2 linked regions of the Ovis aries genome follow. The protein of the gene in region 1 purifies or fractionates together with the protein of each later gene. This does not show direct contact. Links are inferred from orthologs where the notes say so. Each region holds a gene or a part of one and is shown on either strand. Other genes may lie near its edges.

Region 1 (3,816 bases):
CCTATTCCCAATGCCACCTCCAGCTGGGACCCCATTACTCTCAAACCATCCAAACACAGTATGAATAGAGTCTTGAATTAAAGAACCTAGTAAACTAACAATCGGCTCCACCTCTCAAATATCTGAGGCTCACCAGGGCATCGTTCGGCCAGGCTGCCTCCCACCTACTTCATTCTTGTGCGGCCTATAGCACCTCCCCCACCCGCCGCCATCTTTGTCCATCTTTCATCTCCAGGGAACATTCTTTTCTTCCCATCTACCTAAGTCCTGCTGTTTCTTTAATTAAATATGACAACTATCTGCTCTATCAATGAGAAGATTTGACTGCCTTTCATTCCACTTCCTTCCATACCCATGTATCCCTCTTCTGAAGTTCTTTACCAGTTAACCTGCAGCTTTATGTCGCAATGTGTATGTTCTATTAGCTTTCTCACACGTGACCCTGTTTCTAGGAAAAAGAGATGCTTGAGAGCATGGTGGTGATGCTGACTTCGAACACGCCCCAGAATGCTCACACAGACACTACAAAAAGTTGATTTTCCTGATTGCTTGGCTTTGAGGTTGTCATTAGAAAGAACTACATAATTTGTAAAAGACAGAATTACACTTTGAGATCAAACAAGGACAGTTACAATCCACTGAGGATTTCTATATACCAGCAGGCTGGCTAATCAACATTAAGCATTCACCATCACATATCTGGAAAATGCTGGTACTAGGGCCATCCAGACCTCGAGCTGTTCTCCACCTCTGTACTAGGACAATTCAGACCTGGAGCTGTTCTCCATCTCTAAATGGTGCCACCCTAATATTCACTGGGCCATCTCTTCTCCTGTCTGTCAGCTTCACAATTCCTCCTTTAGGCTCACCCACACCTCTTCCTTAAGACCCTGTCCTCTTGCTCAATGATAAAACCTCTTTGACCATCATGATTATCTTGCAAGACTAGCTTTTCCACAGCTGTGGTAATGAAAGCAAACTACTCCCCACCTAGCCCTGGTGGTCACAACTTGGGAGGAAGCGTATCTGTAACTGGGACTGGTTTACTATTGCTACTCTTTGGAATTCCACTCAGAACATTTTGTTCAATTCTGGAAATGTGAGGTCTGGGGCGTGCCTGTGGCTAAGAGCCTGTCCTGGACTGTCTGGACTCAGGACTGCCCCCGGCCAGCCCACATGGTCTCACCTTCTTCCCCTCAGTGTCCCCACAGTAAAACTGCTCAGCTTTGGTCTTGCCCATCACCACGGGATCAGCAGCCTCCAGGTGGGAAGGGTTCGCCACCAGCGACAAGGTGATATTCCTGTCGGTCACACGGTTGATCCGCCGGTGATACATGCCCAGGTGGTACTTCACATCTCCAGAACCCTGCCGGCACAAACGGTGAGGCTTTTACCTAGGCAGGGAGACGCTTACTCTCTGTGACAGCCCTGTCCTGTGTTATTTCTACACCCAGAACTCTCATTTCTAGAAGGACGGAAAGGCTTTTTCCAGAATGGTTCCACCCAGGGTATAAGGAGGAGGTCCCTCAACTAGAGGGCCATATCCCCACCCACGGTGGGGAGAACTGTGGGGGCTGCCAGGCCTCTCATCTCTCTTTTCTCTGGGAGGTCAGCCACTTCCTTTTTTTGTGAGTGGTATAGAGGATCCCAGACCCCATAAGTCCTTCTAGAGAAATAAATGAAGCCAGGGTCTGGCGTGGGTTGGAGCTATGCTAGTTTCTAAAAGAAATCAGGTGTCTTACCTCATCAGCTGCCTCCAGCTTTGAGTCGAACTGACAGAAAATCTGCTCCAGCTCCTTCCTGATGACGTTCGCAAGCACATTCAGTCTCCCCCTGGACACATGGGAGTGGGCAGGGTCTGAGCTGGGCCCTGGGCAGCAGACAATGCTGTTTTATCCCCTTTCTCCCCTGAGGGACAGGTAGTGCCTCAGTCTGCAGCCCAAGAGGAGCTGAGACCAGAACTGATGGGGGACACTCGGCCTCTGCTTGCCTGGCATCCAAGGCCATGACGAGGTAGAAGGAAGAAAAGCAGAAATCAGAGAATGCTGCCAGCCTGCAGTGAATGCTCCATCCTTAGCCTCCTCTGCCTCTTCAAGCTGAGGTCTCTGCTTCGTGTACCAAGCCACCTTCCCTCTAGGTTAACCTCCCTCACCTGTGATCCCACCCAGTCACGAGGCCAAGATGTCTGTCTACAACCACATGTGGCCTCGAGTGTGACAGTGACCACCCAGTGAGGGGTTGCTGTGACGACGGTCACTGGGGGTAGGGATTAGGGTTACTGTATACCAGGCTTGCCCAGTGCCCTGCCTCTGCGCTCCGGACGCTCACAGGGTGGCCAGGTACCTGTGTGGCATTCCCATGATCACGTAGTCCACTCCGTTCTCACTGGACTTGTCAATGATGGTCTTGAGGGCAGGAATTAGTACCTCGCAGCCTTCCAGACCAAAGCGCTTCTCAGATGACCACTTCCGCTGCAGGAACTCCTCAAACCTGGACAGAAACTAAGCCACCCTGAAGAGGCGTGTCAGCAGGGACAACCTTGCTCTCCCAGAGCTGTGGCCACGCCCCAAACCCACCCAACCCCATCAACAGACTGTACCACACAGAGGGGGCCAGTGCAGCCCTGTACCTGGTGGAGCGCACGAGTCGGGCCAGCAAGGTCCGCTTCTCCTCGTTGGTGAACTGCATGACCCCAGGCGTCTCAAATTTCTTCCGGATCCACTGGCACTGCTCCAGGTCATTGATGAACATGAATTCTACCCCAATGTGCTGGCAGTAGGCCATCTGTATTTAATGCACACACACACAAACACACAGTCAAGGGGATGTTCACCCAGGTATGTTGACTGCCCACTTAGCCAGAAGGCTGGGAGGAACAGGTGGCCTCCACTTCAGATGCAACAGAGCTAGCTGTGACCTGGGGCACCAGGCCTGGCCCCGCGACCTCCTTTCACTCTGAACTTGGCCATGAAATGCTTCCTCCACGTAGCATGGAGCCTAGTGGGCAGGGAGGGAGAGTGAGAACCCCTGGGTCAAGGTATTCTTTCATGGTGGGAGGAGAGAATCACCAGCCTGGGGACAAGGAAGCTGCTGGGCAAGGCAGCTTCTCTGACCTCAAGGTCAGACTGTGCCCAGCACTGTGAGAAAAAAAGGCCCTGTGCCACTGGTGGATATCATAGCTCAAAGGCCACTTAACTGTAGCGGGCTTCCAAATTCTACATTCTTCTTTGAACAATTGACTCTGCTTGGGGATATCAGGTTCTACAGAAGCATGACTGCACATATACAAAAAGAAGGGTCCTGAACAGAGCAGGCACTTCGTGACACCACTCACGTGTCACAGCTGGGAAGGAGGCCGTGTGTCCTGTTGAAAGCCTAGGGTGACCTGGGCAGTATGCATGCCAGGAAATGAGAGTGAGAGAAAACAGCAAAGGCCCGGGAGAACCGAGTGTCAGAGAGGCAGCCCTCTGGCAGTCCGTCATGGCGACTGTGCTGAGCAGCCTCTGGCAGGGTACGGGGCTGAACTGGGGGCCCTCTCTCGTCTTTCCTGACACTGACCAGATAGAGGCGCCTGCTGGGGAGCCATCTTGAGGGGCCCACACAGCCTTCCTCAGCCAAGTGATCAGCACTTCTCTCCCCTCATCACCTGCTGGCTGTCCTGGGGTCAGAATGAGGGGCCAACAGCAAACCCTAGTCAGTGCTGGAATTAAAGAAGATATGCCCTGGTGTGCCACTAAATCTTAATTAATTAATATTTTGGCCATGCCACACAGCTTGTGGTATCTCAGTTCTCCAACCAGGGATCAAACCCTGGCC
Region 2 (3,816 bases), on another chromosome or scaffold:
CAGGGCAAGCCTACCTTGTCAGTTTCAATCTCACAAACCACTTCATCTTCTGCAACTGTGTCTCCAACAGCTGAAAAGACAGTCAAAGGCTACCTGTTAGGGGTGAGCAGTGGGTAACAAGAAAAGTAGCCATAAAATCCCCTTTGGCAGGTGTTACAGGACCCCTTTCCTACAGGCCAGGGGAAGGTACACTGCATGTAAAGAAAAGAGTGGAGCCACAGGTTCCACTGATTATCATGAAGGTGAGGGGAGTAAAGGGGACTTTTCAAAAGTATTTAAACTTAAAAAGTGAGAAGGCAGTAAATCTTACCTTTCTCCCACCTGACATCCCCCTCTGTGACAGATTCTGCAAACGCTGGGGTTTTGACTGTAATCACATCATCCTCTAGGAAAAAAGGGGAGGGGGGAAATCACACAGTCCATATTTTTCCTTTTTTTTCTGCCATTAAATTCAGTCAATTGCTATTCTTCTCATTAAAATTCCATCCCCAAGAACGCAGGGAGCTGAAGGTACTTACTGCATACAGCTGTAGTTCTAAAGAAGCGAACGCTGAAGATATTACTGCTGTTAATGCTACAAAACAAACATAAAAGTAAACTCCTTTAACAGGTGAATCATTCACATTTTAGTCTAGATAAGCCATGATGAATCACCTTTATTTTTAATAAATTTTTACTGGAGTATAGTTGATATACAATGTTGTGTTAGTTTTTGCTGTACAGCAAAGTGAGTCAGTTATACAAATATCCACTCTTTTTTAGATTCTTTCACCTTCCCTTTAAACCAGTGACTCTTGACTAGGAGCGCCCATCACTGTTACCTGGGGAACTTTTTCAAAGCATACCTGTCTAGGCCCCATTCCCAGAGATCCTGACTCAGCAGGTCTAGAGTAAAGCCTGGATTACTTGGGTGCCTCAAGCAGCGAGGCCCTTGGGTGAGTGAAATGTGCTGCAGTGAAATGCCAGCTCTTCCAGAACAGACTTACGTTTGCATCTCTGAAGAAAAAGACAGCATCTTGGTCCTTTGCACAATCACAAAAGGACTCAGCTTCCTGATTAGGTTTTTTCTTAACTGAATCCAAGTAAGATAAAACTGTGTGCCCTCAGGGTACTTGCCACTTTGCCATGTAAAACAGAATTTCTGTCTATGTGATTAAAGATTTAGATAAGACAGCAAGATGAAAGTAAAACAAGGTGTTATATGCAAAATAAACAAAAAAACAAACAAAAAGCCCCACTGAAAACCTCATAATCACCTGTTCTCCTGCCAGAAGGCAGCACATCAGTCCACTTTGGACTCACTCAAGAGGAACCTCAAAAAGAGCAAGGTATTCTCTGATATGACACTAACCTGAAATAACGTAACCTGGAGAATGATATGACCATGGAGAATCATGGTATCTGGTATATGGTATCTGTGGTTATCTGTCATATACATACATTTTGGAAGAGTGATTTGGACTGATGGGAACTTTCACTTTCTATACTTCAAGACTGTCTGAATAGTCTACAATGAGCACCTTTACAATAAAAAGTGAAACAGATTTAAGTTGCCTTTGGTATTTTTAAGTTCTATGTAAAATCAAGGGAAAATGTGTTATTTAAAAAAATACAGAATACAAAGTGTTCTGCATAAAAGTTTCCAACCATGTATAGGTACATGTTCATGGGCAATAACTAATGGGTAACGTGTCAATGCAGAGACTGCTCTCTGAGGACACCCAGAATCTGGCACATCGGCTGTCTCTGGGAATAGGAACGCAGTAGCATGGGAGAACAGGATAAAGTCTTCTCATGGACACTCTTTTTACTTTTCAACCATGTAAATGTGTAACCTATTAAATAAAAACAAAAAACCAAACACAGTTTTACAATAAAAGATTTTTAGTAAAATGGGTACCTTATGCACAGAAAAAAGACAAGATACAATACAGAAACAGTTACTAGATTAGAGTAATACCCTAATCTGTGATCCTCATCATTCAAAGTTTAGGGGTTTTTAAAATAATTAACTTTTAAATAGTTATTTGTTTTATTTATTGCACAGGATTTGTAGTCGCTCTAATTTTCATTTAAACTATAGATGAGAAACACACTTTGACACTCCCTAAATAATTTTAAATTTACAAAAGTATTAGATGTTAACAGTAGTAAACTTAGAAAGAGCAAAAAGAACATTCACAATGGGACTATACCATACAATACAAAAGGAATAATTTTATAACTTGCTTTTTCCCACTTGTAGAATGAACATATAGCATAGCATAGCCTAACCCATCCATTGTTGTTTGACCATTCTGAGAAACACGGGTACACTAGGCGTTCAGTACAGAGCCCTAGAAATGGGATTGCTAGATCAAAAGGTACACACAGTTCAAAGACTTATGAATGCCAAACTGCCATTCTAATGCACAGTGAAGAAGGAGCAATCTGCCGACCCTTCATTTTAAAGATTCCACCTATAGAGAAAAATAGCTTGACAGCTGCTCAACAGGAAACTAAAGAGCGTCCTCTTACTACCACCCTGAAAATACTTGGAATGCAAAGTAGTGTTAAGCAACACTCATAGGCAGAAGTTAATCTGAAACACACATGGGTGGCCTCTCTCCAAATTTTGCATTATGCAATAGTAGCATTCCTTCCCTCTACACTAGTCAAAGTCCCAGGAGTTAAATACTAGTCTCTTGCTTTTACTGTTTCTAAAATGCGTAACTATGCAACCAAAAGGATGCTCTTAACCTCCACAATAAACGTAACCTCCAGTCCTTCAGCTTCACTTGTAGCCAACCAGAATATTTAGGAGCATCCTTCTAACAATTCCCATAAAAAGAGGATTCCAGCTCCACTTTCATTATAATCTGAACACCTGGTCCTGACACACTCCTGGTCCAATACTTCACATGGGGCTGAAGCTCAGGCTCATATCATAAATTAACATCAAGTTCAGGTCAAGGGACTCAATATAACCAGCTTGATTACTAGGCTTGAAAGACAGGAAAGAAAGCAGATGGTCAAACTGGTGTCTTCAATACCCCGGGTCCACATATCTGTGCTCCCCAGTGATACTTACACAGTCTTCCTGCTGTCAGGGTAACCTGGTCCCTGACATAAGGAGATCCCTGCAAGAAACAAAACAACTCTTAACCAACAACTCTTTATCTCATACAGGATACCTGCTGGGAATGGAGAAGCAGTTGTTCACCCCCTAACTCTGAGATAGAGCAGGATCAACAGCAGGCAATAATATAATCTGTATCACACAGAGTCCTGCCTCTTAAACTTTTCCACCATAGTAACCGTAATGGCAGAGAACAACAGGTATGTGCGACTGCAGGGAATGGGTTTGAGGAAGAAAGGGGAGAATTCTATAATCTTATTTATCTCGAAATTCATAAACTTTCATTATCCCTGTATGTTTTCATGATAGAATGCCTCTACTTCCCAAGTTTTCAAATACAATGGAAGCCTGAGACACATGATAGCTTATCCTGTGACTACACACAGCCTAAAGAAGCAGTGGAAAGTTTGGTCCGAGTTTGCTTCCCTGGTTACTTAAAATGCACTGGAAGTTTTGTTGCCTGAATCCCAACAGCAAAGACCAGGCTACTTCTGGCCCAAGGTCTTCAGCTTGCTCAAGCAAACTATTACACCTCCTTTCCATTTATTGCCTTCCCACTCTTGCTGAGACCTTCCATTCTGGTCACACTCAACAAGGTGAGAGCTTCTTTCTGCCCCACCAATTGTCCTTATTACAAATAATCGCACTGCTGCCACAGACAACTAATTACTCTATCTGCTTCACCTGATTATATTCTT

What was found.
Region 2: the proteins of OGDH (region 1) and DLST fractionate together in Homo sapiens (co-fractionation; 3 studies listed by BioGRID). This does not show direct contact. The link is inferred for Ovis aries from reciprocal best matches to the Homo sapiens genes OGDH and DLST.

Annotation. Positions count from the first base shown.
Region 1 is NC_056057.1:78,452,265-78,456,080, forward strand, and holds part of OGDH (2-oxoglutarate dehydrogenase complex component E1), read right to left. Parts: intron 2,785-3,816; coding exon 2,630-2,784; intron 2,491-2,629; coding exon 2,344-2,490; intron 1,834-2,343; coding exon 1,743-1,833; intron 1,367-1,742; coding exon 1,187-1,366; intron 1-1,186. UniProt on the Homo sapiens protein: 2-oxoglutarate dehydrogenase (E1o) component of the 2-oxoglutarate dehydrogenase complex (OGDHC). Participates in the first step, rate limiting for the overall conversion of 2-oxoglutarate to succinyl-CoA and CO(2) catalyzed by the whole OGDHC.
Region 2 is NC_056060.1:84,221,020-84,224,835, reverse strand, and holds part of DLST (dihydrolipoyllysine-residue succinyltransferase component of 2-oxoglutarate dehydrogenase complex, mitochondrial), read right to left. Parts: intron 3,120-3,816; coding exon 3,071-3,119; intron 575-3,070; coding exon 519-574; intron 386-518; coding exon 311-385; intron 71-310; coding exon 15-70; intron 1-14. UniProt on the Homo sapiens protein: Dihydrolipoamide succinyltransferase (E2) component of the 2-oxoglutarate dehydrogenase complex. The 2-oxoglutarate dehydrogenase complex catalyzes the overall conversion of 2-oxoglutarate to succinyl-CoA and CO(2).